Caenorhabditis elegans: one gene and its partner. The protein of the gene in region 1 purifies or fractionates together with the protein of each later gene. This does not show direct contact. Each region holds a gene or a part of one and is shown on either strand. Other genes may lie near its edges.

Region 1 (6,011 bases):
TTGCAAAAGAGGAAAGAGAGTGAGAGAAAAGAGACATAGAGATAGCCAGAGACACACACATAAACCAACGGACACCAACGCTGCCTGTTGGGGGCAGCAGCAGCGTTTTCGCTTCCCCTCCAACCGCCCATACGGACTCTGCGTATCACATCTCTCGCTTCTGCTGCGACCTCTCTGCGTAGCGTGCTGAGCGACGCGGACGGACTAGGCACACACACACGACTGACACGTCTATATTGTTGTGTCCCGGAGAGACTATCTACCCCTCCACTGTAACCTTTAAATTCCCCAAAAAACCCAAAAAAATTAGACTACTTTAATCAAAAACTTCAACAAAAACCAAAAAAAAAACTCAACATCAACTAATATTCTTGCTGATTGGAAATCATCACCTGCAAACGAACCAACAAAGAAGTAAGTTTTTTTTTGAAGTAAATATGTAGAAATGCTTGAATACTCATCAACCAAGTTTCAATAAACCTGTCCTATCATTATCGAACGTCTTTCAGCTCTTCCCATATTCAGACTTAGCAATAAGTGTTTCTCACTTCTCTGTAAATTTCGCAATTATCGAACAAAAACACCATATGACGGAGACTGCAAATGATAAAAATAGGCAAAATAGGGCCCAGAATCACATGTTTCTATACAATAACATAGGTGTCCTTTTCCTTGCTCGCTATCATTCTGTTTTCCAATTTTGTTTCCGTTCGGTTCCAACACGTCAAAAATTGAAAAACGAGGGCGCCGAGCGAGAGCGAAGCAGCCATAAAACCGTCATGTTTATATGTTGTGGCAGTTGAAGAGAATGCATGAATCATCTCACTGGGCCCCTCATTCGCTCCTCTCCTTTCGCCGCAGTCCGTTTAGTTATTGTCGAATCATCACCGCCACCAATCATCACAACACAGCCGCATTCCTTGTCCTGCTTCTCTAGCGGCTCAGATAATATCAATCGTCTTCTTCCTCCGTGGTGTAAGGAAGAGGGTGAGGCTTGTGTCGACGACAGTAGATCCTGAACAGATAGCGAAGAATAGTAAGGGGGAGGGAGATCAAAAACCAATCAATTCGATAGGCGATTGTCAATACACGAGTGAATTAGAATCATCCATAAAACTATACATTTTCTACAGTATTCTCTCCCACTCTTTTTGGTTTCCTTTCCTGTTAATTCGTTTCACTCTCTTCTTCTCCTCTCTCGGTTTTTTCTTCTTCCGCAAAACTATTGTCGCTATCTGTTGCGCCTGACGCGATCGTTCGTCGTCCCCTCGCTCCCGAGGCAGGCCCATGCTGCAACAGCAATATATCTATATATTCAATAGACGATAAAAAGCAGCGGGGCAAAAAGAAGAAAAAGAGAAAGAGTGTTGGCTGGGCTTCTTCTCCTTGTTCACTCCCGGTTTTCCATCATTGACTCCGATGTTTTTTTCTTTTCCTATTGCCTTAGCATCGGATGTTTCACATCCTAATCTTTTTACGTTCGACTTTCCATGTTCCTTATGGATTTCTATAATCTCGTAAAAATACAGTAGAAAGCAATTTTCATGCCCATTCCAACACAATAAAGATACGTCGTTGACACGCCAGGGCATTTGAGCATTGCACCCAATTTCCACTCCATTTATAAATGTGGGCGAAAGATGAGGAAAGGAGGGCTGCACGCCTTTTTTCTTACTTGCCTTCATTCACGCCTTCCCTTGTTCAGTCACTTTAGTTTCTCCCATTTTGCTCATTCTTATGTGAATTTGGTTTCACAATACATTTTCCTGCTCTCGTCCTTTTAGCAATTTTCTATTTTTCAGTACGATGGCCCAAGTTCCACCGCCAATGACTCAAGTGGTTACCAGTGCTCCACCACCGACCGCAGCAGCAACCGTCGTCGCCGGTGCAGTTGCCGGACAACCACAAGCCGTCATTCAGCAGGGTCCACCGCCAACAAACATAGGATACCCGCCAAATGCAACCTATTCGATGGCTTCACTCTACATTGGTGATCTTCATCCCGATGTTTCAGAGGCTATGCTATTCGAGAAGTTCAGTATGGCGGGACCGGTGCTTTCAATCCGAGTGTGCCGCGACAATACCAGCCGCTTGTCGCTCGGGTATGCCTACGTCAACTTCCAGCAGCCTGCTGATGGTGAGTTTGCATTTTGATTAAATTCAGAAATTTTGTGAGATAGCTCTTTAACATCTGAGACGCAATGCACAGCGAAAGGGAAGATTGTTGTATGCACAACAGGGGACGTTGTACATATATCACATGAACACACCAGTACCAAACCGTGCTCTCTCACCTCGCAACAACAGTCCCCGTTCTGCTCACACATCTCTCTGTGCAGAATTGCGCAATAAAGAGAGCCACTAGAAGAGTTGCCACGTCACAGTATGACGTAGTCTGTGGGAAACAAGTGTTTATAGAATGCATACCAGGTGCTAGAAAATTTGAATGCTTGTTATATAAAAATGAGGAAGACAACTCATAAAAATATGTTTATTTCAATTTATCACATGGAATATAATAATTCTTACAGCCGAGCGCGCCTTGGACACTATGAACTTCGAAGTCATCCACGGACGTCCAATGCGTATCATGTGGTCCCAACGTGACCCTGCTGCTCGCCGTGCCGGAAATGGAAACATCTTCATTAAGAACTTGGATCGTGTCATTGACAACAAGTCCGTCTACGACACTTTCTCGCTTTTTGGAAACATTTTGTCTTGCAAAGTTGCCACCGACGATGAAGGAAACAGCAAAGGATACGGATTTGTTCACTTCGAGACTGAGCACTCTGCGCAAACTGCCATTGAGAAAGTCAATGGAATGCTTCTTTCTGATAAGAAAGTGTAAGTTTACCCTATTGAGTTGCAAGTTTAATCGTTTAAATTTTCAGCTATGTCGGAAAATTCCAACCTCGCGCACAACGCATGAAGGAGCTTGGAGAGAGTGGCCTCAAGTACACCAACGTCTTCGTCAAGAACTTCGGCGAGCATCTCGACCAGGAAAAGCTTTCCGCAATGTTCTCCAAGTTTGGAGAGATTACTAGTGCCGTAGTGATGACCGATGCGCAAGGCAAACCAAAAGGTTTTGGATTTGTCGCTTTTGCTGATCAGGATGCCGCTGGTCAAGCTGTTGAAAAACTCAACGACAGCATTTTGGAAGGAACTGACTGCAAGCTTTCAGTCTGCAGAGCTCAAAAGAAGTCTGAGCGTTCTGCAGAGCTCAAGAGAAAGTACGAAGCTTTGAAGCAAGAGCGTGTCCAGCGTTATCAAGGAGTAAACTTGTACGTCAAGAACATTGAGGAAGATCTCAACGATGATGGTCTTCGTGATCACTTTTCTTCCTTCGGAACAATCACTTCTGCTAAAGTTATGGTTGATGAGAACGGAAGATCGAAGGGATTCGGTTTCGTGTGCTTTGAGAAGCCAGAAGAGGCAACCGCTGCCGTCACTGATATGAACTCCAAAATGATTGGAGCCAAGCCACTGTATGTGGCCCTTGCTCAACGCAAGGAGGATCGTCGTGCTCAGTTGGCATCTCAGTACATGCAAAGACTTGCAACTCTTCGCATGGGACAGCAGGCCAGCGGAGTTCCAGCAATGACTCAGCTCTACCAGCCAGGACAACAAGGATACTTTGTTCCAAATCCAATGAATGTACGTTTCTACAAAGTTAATTCAAATGTCTTAATTTCTTAATTTACAGGCTCAAGGGCGTCCAGGATTCCAGCCACAATCTGCTCAAATTCGCGGACCACCAGGACAACGCGTGTTCCAAAACCAGATGTTCATGCAATATCCATTCAATCAGCGCCAAGTTTACCCACAACAACAGGGACGTCCACCAATGCGAACCAACGATGGTCGTCCACAATATGGAATGGCTCCAAGACCAGCCGGAGCACCACGTGTCGGAGGACCTGGAGTGCAGATGGGAGGGGCACCTATTCGTCAAGTAAGCTTTAATCCAGATAAAATGAATACTACTCTCTATTTTTCAGCAAGGACCAGCCCCACGCGGAGCACCACAGAAGCCGTTCTACCAAGGACCACCACGCCAGCAACAACCACAACAGCACTCCCAGCAACCAGCACAACAGCCAGGACAACAAGGACAAGGACAATCCGGAATCGTTATTCACGGACAGGAGACTCTTACCTCCCATATGCTTGCTCAAGCTGCTCCACAAGAGCAAAAGCAACTTCTCGGAGAGCGTATCTATGCTCTTATCGAGAAGATGTTCCCGAACCACAAGGAGGCCGGCAAAATCACTGGAATGATGCTGGAGATTGACAACGCCGAGTTGATCATGATGCTCCAAGACGCTGAGTTGTTCAGAAGCAAGGTCGAGGAAGCCTTTGGAGTGCTCACCAATGCTCAGAGTGCTGCTGCTTCTACTTCTGCTCCAACTGCTAAAAACTAAGCTCTCTAACTTCATCTTGCATGCCAAGGTCGTAATATTCTCTGATATTCAGAGCAAAAATTGTTGGCTATACTTTTTGGTACTGAAAGCAGTATTCATTCTGCATTTCATAATTTCTCATCCAATTTTTTTACCTTCCCATTTCCTATTGTACTTTCTTCAAATAATCTTACAAAAAACCCCAAAAAAATTTAAAAATCTGGAGAAAAAATTAAAAAAAAAGGAAAAAAATTCAAAAAATTCAAAAAAATGCTTCTATTTTTCTTTATTTCAATTTCACATTTCTTGCTTGGTATTTAAAATTGTCTTGAACTGCGTTGAAGCTGATTTCTTTAACGAATGTGTATAGTTTCATCTGAAAATCCCTAAAAAAAAATATTTTTTCTTTTCTGGTCCTCTCTCTTGTCTCACTTCAATCCAATTCAACATTTATGTGTACTTTGTTACTTTCTCCAGAATTTCGGTGTTTTTTTTTTTTTCATCAAAAACTTGGAAACCTAGAGATTGCAACTAATTTTTAACATGGTAATTTGTTCGGCCTTGTAATGTACTCCGAAGCCCAAGCTCAGAACAAATCGTCTCACCCCCGCCAGCCAGCAATTTCATTGAAATTAGATGCTTCTTTCTGAATGCTTTGATATTTCTGTGCAACAATGTGCAACTTTGTCATTTCCCGCCTAATAATATGCTCTTTGTGTTAATAAGTATATTCCCACTTATATAAGTTATTGCAACTCTCACCCCTCCCCATCCTCCCATAAAACCTAAAATTTTTCTTTTGTACCCCAATTTGTACCCACATAACAATTGATACATCCATTCTGTGGTTTTTCCGATATCCCAACATCTTATCGTTTTCCCCAGAATTTTTCTAATTATCATTATAATAATTTTGTTGTAAACTTTTTGAATTAAATAATGATAAATGTATCTATAAAAGGAACTCATCTGTTCTATTTTCAAAATTACTTTCAAAATGCGGAGAAACACTCAATAATGGTGACCTGATATTTAATAACAACAGGATTACTTGAATATAACAAAACATAATGCGGCATCAAAAATCAATTTTCTTCAATTTGATCAATTTGCAAAAAATCTGAACAAGTTCTTACCTCTGAACTCTGAACTTTGAAAATGAATATCTGACTTAAAATGAACTTTTTGAAAATGTTTCTTCGGGGACTTGTTTCAAATTTTAAGCGCTTTCAGAATTTAATAACAAAATTTTTCCAGGTGCCAGAAGTTTTAGGTTCAATCCAGAAAACTGAATTTGAGCCATATAAATGACCGCATTTGTTTATTAGGAGATTTATTTAGTTTGTGTAACTTTGAAAATTAATATCTGACTTAAAATGAACTTTTTTGAAAATGTTTCTTCGGGGACTTGTTTCAAATTCTAAGCGCTTTCAGAATTTAATAACAAAATTTTTCCAGGTGCCAGAAGTTTTCAGTTCAATCAAAAAAACTGATTTTCAGGATCAATTTTAAAGTTATGAAATGTAAGTAAATATGAAAACAAATAATCGGTTATATTGCATCTAAAAAAGTGCGGTCAGCCACATGCCTAAAATTTCAGATTTTCTGTTT
Region 2 (5,287 bases), on another chromosome or scaffold:
ACAAATTGGATAAGAAGAAAGATGGAAAAAAGGAGAAATAATGTCGAGAAGGTTGAAGCACTGAAGTAGACTATAGCACTTGAGAGAATAAAATGTGATTCATTTCTGTTCTGTTTTCAGCGTAAATTTATTGTTAAAGCTAGGGGTGTTGTGTGGGACGTGATGAGCCACCCCATAGCAACCTTAGCTATTCAAAAAACGTTTCCAAAATGCCATTCGAAAAAAGTGAAATAGCGGGCGAATGTTGAGGCGATGGAGAGGGATAGAATCCGGGTTGCGCGGCAATTGCGTTATTATGGGAGAGATCACATAGTTTCTACATCTTTTCACTAAAATTTAATGAAAAATATTGGGAAAACACATCTCTGCCTGAAATTGTAGAATTACCCGTCGGCAATCGCCGCGCACCTTTTGGTGGAATCAGGGGTGCCTTGTGGCTGATGTGGCTGTAAACTGATGACTAAAATCAAATATAACACATTTGAAGTTGCAAGCAATAAAAATCACATAATTCTTTATTCGGACAAGTTTCATTTGGATTTCAATGGCTTTTCTTTACTCTTTGGCAGTGCTCTATCATCAAATATTGGGATAGCTTCAGCAATGGATTTGTGGAAGAGAATTGAATCGTCACGAAACCTTAAAATTTTTTTTTTTCGGGGAGTAGTTCCAAAACTTACTTCAAAACTGCATCCGCGTGTTTCCCCTTCTGCTCATTAATCGACTTATTGATAAAGTCAATAACCTTCTGTCTGCACTCATTCCTCCATGTCTGAGCATTTCCCGCCGCGAGTTCGGCTTGCTCCGTTCGCTCCTTATTCTGCTGACTGATTGCGTCGTCGTAGGTTTCCAGCGAGAGCCAATAAACTGAAATTTTTTATTTAGATTCATATTATAGACCCTTTTATTCTTACTCTTTCGAAGCCTTGCGTACTCCCAATAGTCGACGCCAATGAATTTTGTCAACGCCGACAAGTTTTCCAGATGCCTTTGGACTTGCTTTGCTTGTATGGAATCCAGATTGAGCAAGGTTTGGATAGCCGGTTCTAAGCTCTGAAATTTGTGTCCTTATTATCAGGTGCCATTCCATAAGCCAAAAAATTGGGGAGCCTAAGCCTGATTACCTGGGCTTAAATGGTTTATTTGAAAAGCCTAAGCCTACATTTTAACATTTAAAAGCCCTTAGCCTAAATTGTTAAGCCTAAAAATCCAAGCCTAGAAAATATACCAAATTTCTTAGGTGCAAAAAAGTCGTTCCAACTTCCTCGATTTTCAACAGGATTCGCTCTAGAAACTGAATGTCGCGTCACTTTTCTGATCAATTCTGCAACTAAACTCACATCCATTTCTTTGGGGTCAACCTTCGTACCCAACTTTCTTCCTTTCTGATTTATCGCCTGATACGTCTTTAGATACTGCCCAGCGTACTGATAATTCGTATCAGCTTTCATAAGTTCCTGATTCTCAACGAACATTTGAATCAGTGCCTGATGAAGTCGATCTGCGGCTTCTTTATAAGCTTCAACTTGATTGCAAAGCTTCTTCACGTCATCAGTCATCGAAAACAAGCGATTCTTTTTCTTCAGAATCGACGAAAATACACCGTGATTTGGATGGTCCTGAAAACTCTCTTTTTTTTTCGGTTTCGGATTTCGGTTTCGGAGGCATCCAAAAACTTACAGCTAATCCATAAAATAATTTCTGAGCGATTGGCTTTTCATAGCAGCTACTCGTACTCTTCTTGTTTGCCATTAAAAATATAAAATAACTGAGATTGAGATTTCATGTCTGATAAACAAGTATGTTTGTCATCATAAAATGTGTCACGTAACAAAGCAATTTAAATTAGTAATTTTTTGTTTTATTTTTAACATTTTTTAGAAAATATTTGTGATTGAAATTTTGTGAAAAAATTTGAAATTTTTGCTTACTATTAGCTCCGTGTTTTACCAGTTAAATTGCTCCAAAGGCGGTTTTTGAAATTTTCTGTGGAAACTTTCTATTCAACAAAAAATCTAAACAGTTCTCTGGAAATTGTTCTATAGTTTTATGTATTATATTATTTAAAATTTTTATTATTTTTTTATTATATTATTTTAAAATCCGGGTTTGCAGATTTTATCATTTTTAAGATTAATATAAACCTACTGATTGACAAATTCCAAAATCTTAAATTTGTTTAACTGTACGCTTTTTAACATTTTCATACTTCTTGAACAATTTCAAATCATTTTTCTAGACAAATTTGCATGAGGCTTTCCCTATATATGTATTTTGAAAACTAAAATATAATATAAAGCGTTTATACCTTTTAACTACAGTATCCAAAAACATGATAAATATAGAAATTTGGATAACTTTTTGCTTTATTATGAAGCAATTTCATTCAGAGTCCAAATTTTAATTCTCCCACAATATTCAATCAGTGGCCGCTTACACATTAGCAGTGAAATGTTAGTCAGCAACTACATATCCTGTGGTCTGAGATAATCTGTACATGGAAAAATTAATCTAATTGTATGTAAGTGTCAAATCTTTCCCTCTTTGAATATGATATTTGATCCTTATGATTCAAACCAAAACGTTTCCCTTCTTTTCCTATTCATATGATTCACGCCAACCCCAATATCATTATAATTCGATTAAAAACAGACCTATATAAGTTCCTTCTTTTATATTATATTATATAATACCAATGCTTCCTTTCTAGATGTAGACCGCTATCTTCCCCTTTTCTTCTCTTTAATTGTAATTCAGTATTATATTCTTCTAAATAAATTAATCTCAAGAATTCATTTCTTGATAGTAAGTAAATAAAATAAATAATTCAAGCAGAAACAGACGACTATAGCATGAAGCACCCCCGGAAACCAGCAGAGGATGCAGAAACAAAGGTTGAGCCAAACTGACAGAGAGCATCTTTCCTCTTTCACGTAGACGGCGATTGGCGGAAAAATTAAAATGAGCAGAATGTAACAACACGGGCCGGTTTCTTTCATTTCAGCAAGATAGTGTTGCACAAAATATGAAAAATTAAGTTGTTTGGACAACCTTATATACTGGAGGAGTCTGTTAACGGTCATAAACCGGTGCCACAGCTTATGGTTAAACATCATGCAAAAACACTTTGATTGTGTGCTAAAGCATTTATTGAGTCGTTGCTGTGCCAGACGACGAGAGTCTTACTTTCGTCCGGCGCCAGCAGGCAAGGTCTTTCTCGACTGAGGATGTTATTCTCTAGTCGGCTTATATACTCGTGAGGGCGTGACGCTCCCTGCTCAGAGGCCGCGTGGGCGTTAGAGTCATGCGCTTTATGCACGTCTCCAAAGTCCACTCAGTGCAACATGAGAAGTGATCATAGAACACTTCCACAAGTCTATAAACTTTCAGCATCCGTGAAGATAAACTTTTCTTGATTTCAGATATTTTTGTTTAATAATTTGAACTGTAGATTTAAGAAAAAGTAAAATAAGTGCAAGATTGCTTTCTAAAGGGATCTCGAACTTAACACAATTTGGACTTCTTGCTGAAGTTATGAATTGATGGGTTTACCCTGCAACTGAGCCAACGCAACATTTTCAGTGCAAAAAACACATTTTTGGTTTTTTTTATTTCAAAAAAATATTTATAACTATCAACAATGTGACTAAAATAAACTTATAAATTATTTTTTCAGCAACTAGTAGTCTGATTCAGAACTATCGTCTTTTTCATCCGAAACTTCGTCCGGTTCCGTTGGATTGCCCATTAGCTCAGCTATTTTTCGAATTTGCTCTATTTCTGGAAAAACTTTATTGAATTATTGGGACTAAACTTTTAAAATTAAAAATCAAAAATCAAAAAACTTTTTTTAAATCGATTTTTCTACATACCATTTCTTGAATTGAGTATCCTTTTTCCTACATAGCAAAGCTTTTTAAAAGTTCAAATTTGTTTGTAAACCTTCAATTAAAAAAAAAATTTTTAAGACTAGCGCACAAAGTGCGCTATCCCTTCGGGAGTGGGGATAGGGTTATTTCGCTCTAAAGTATCAACAAGGTAGCTGGCGCAGGTTCTCGGCTTTGCCTCAAACCTGTGTTGGGGTTAAGTGTGTTCACCTTGAAATTCAAAATATATTCCAAAGATTTGTTTCTAATTTAATATTTTGAAAAATCATTTAGCGGCTCCGGCGCTTTAGTTTTCAGTTCCTCTAAGATTAAAGAAATATTCTAAGGAGTTGTTTCACATTGAAATATTCTTAAAAATTATTTGGGCGCTAAGTTGAATCTTCTCTAAGATTAGAAAAATATTCTAAGGAGTTGTTCTAAATTCAAAAATTCCTAAGAGTTATCAGCGCCTTCGGCGCTGAATTTTTCAAAGTTTCTGAAATAAAGAAACATACTAAGGAGTTGTTTCTAATTTAAAACTTTGAAGACTTATTCAGCGCCTTCGTCGCTGATTTGAACTATTTCTAAGATTGATGGAATATGCTAAGGAGTTGTTTCTAATTTAAAAATTTTGAATAATTATTTAGCGCCCTGGGCGCTGAATTTTCAGTTTCTCTAAGATGAAAGAAATATGCTGAAAAGATTTTTCAATTTTAAAAAGAAAATGTAAAAACATAAAAGATATTTCGAAAACTTTGATGAGGAGATGAAATGTTAGTTTTTTTTCATAACTTTTTCATTTTTAAAGCTGGAAAAAAATCTTACATATTTGAATTCAGCGTCAAATTCTGAGTCTATTAAAAAAAACAGAATTAAAATTAAACTTAAACAAACCAATTAACAAACGCTCAAAGTTGAAAAATCAAAAATCAAAAAAGGCATTATTTTTCTATTCGGTCGATTATCTCTGTGATGTATGACTCGATTTTCAAAATTTTTTTCGTCTCTCGCTTAAGAAATCTTCAAGGTTTCATATATTTGGCTCAGAATCAGAATAGCTCAAACGACGGCAAAGTTATGAGAGGGAAAAAAAAAGTTTTTGAACAAAAAATTACAGTACACCTACCGTTTACCACCTACAGTACCCTACCGTTTATCACATACAGTACTCCTACAGTATAATATAGGAAGAAGGCAGAAACATCTCAAATCTCAAAAACCCAATACTGAAGCTGCTAAAAATTCATCTGCCCGGAATCTGAATCATCGGTACCAAAAATTCACATTTTATTATACAAAGTATTTAAAAATTTATACAAAAATTCACCATTTTCCGATAATTTCGCTTTGTTTCCAACAACTTCCACTTTTATTTTCAGATTTCCCTCATATTCGACACCTGAAAATTTTTTTTTCTGAAT

What was found.
Region 2: the proteins of pab-2 (region 1) and Y37F4.1 fractionate together in Caenorhabditis elegans (co-fractionation; one large-scale study listed by BioGRID). This does not show direct contact.

What each region holds. Positions count from the first base shown.
Region 1 is NC_003284.9:13,521,615-13,527,625, reverse strand, and holds pab-2 (Polyadenylate-binding protein), read left to right. Parts: upstream 1-1,802; 5' UTR 1,803-1,806; coding exon 1,807-2,137; intron 2,138-2,160; exon of another isoform or gene 2,161-2,367; intron 2,368-2,529; exon of another isoform or gene 2,530-2,531; coding exon 2,532-2,844; intron 2,845-2,891; coding exon 2,892-3,654; intron 3,655-3,703; coding exon 3,704-3,952; intron 3,953-3,998; coding exon 3,999-4,421; 3' UTR 4,422-5,364; downstream 5,365-6,011.
Region 2 is NC_003279.8:10,856,013-10,861,299, reverse strand, and holds Y37F4.1 (BAR domain-containing protein), read right to left. Parts: upstream 3,214-5,287; 5' UTR 2,655-3,213; intron 2,492-2,654; 5' UTR 2,309-2,491; intron 1,789-2,308; 5' UTR 1,753-1,788; coding exon 1,681-1,752; intron 1,620-1,680; coding exon 1,341-1,619; intron 1,054-1,340; coding exon 915-1,053; intron 868-914; coding exon 681-867; intron 640-680; coding exon 531-639; 3' UTR 502-530; downstream 1-501. Other genes in the region: Y37F4.5 (START domain-containing protein), read left to right, coding at 1-41; Y37F4.2 (Sec-independent protein translocase protein TatA), read right to left, coding at 3,680-3,780, 5,194-5,265.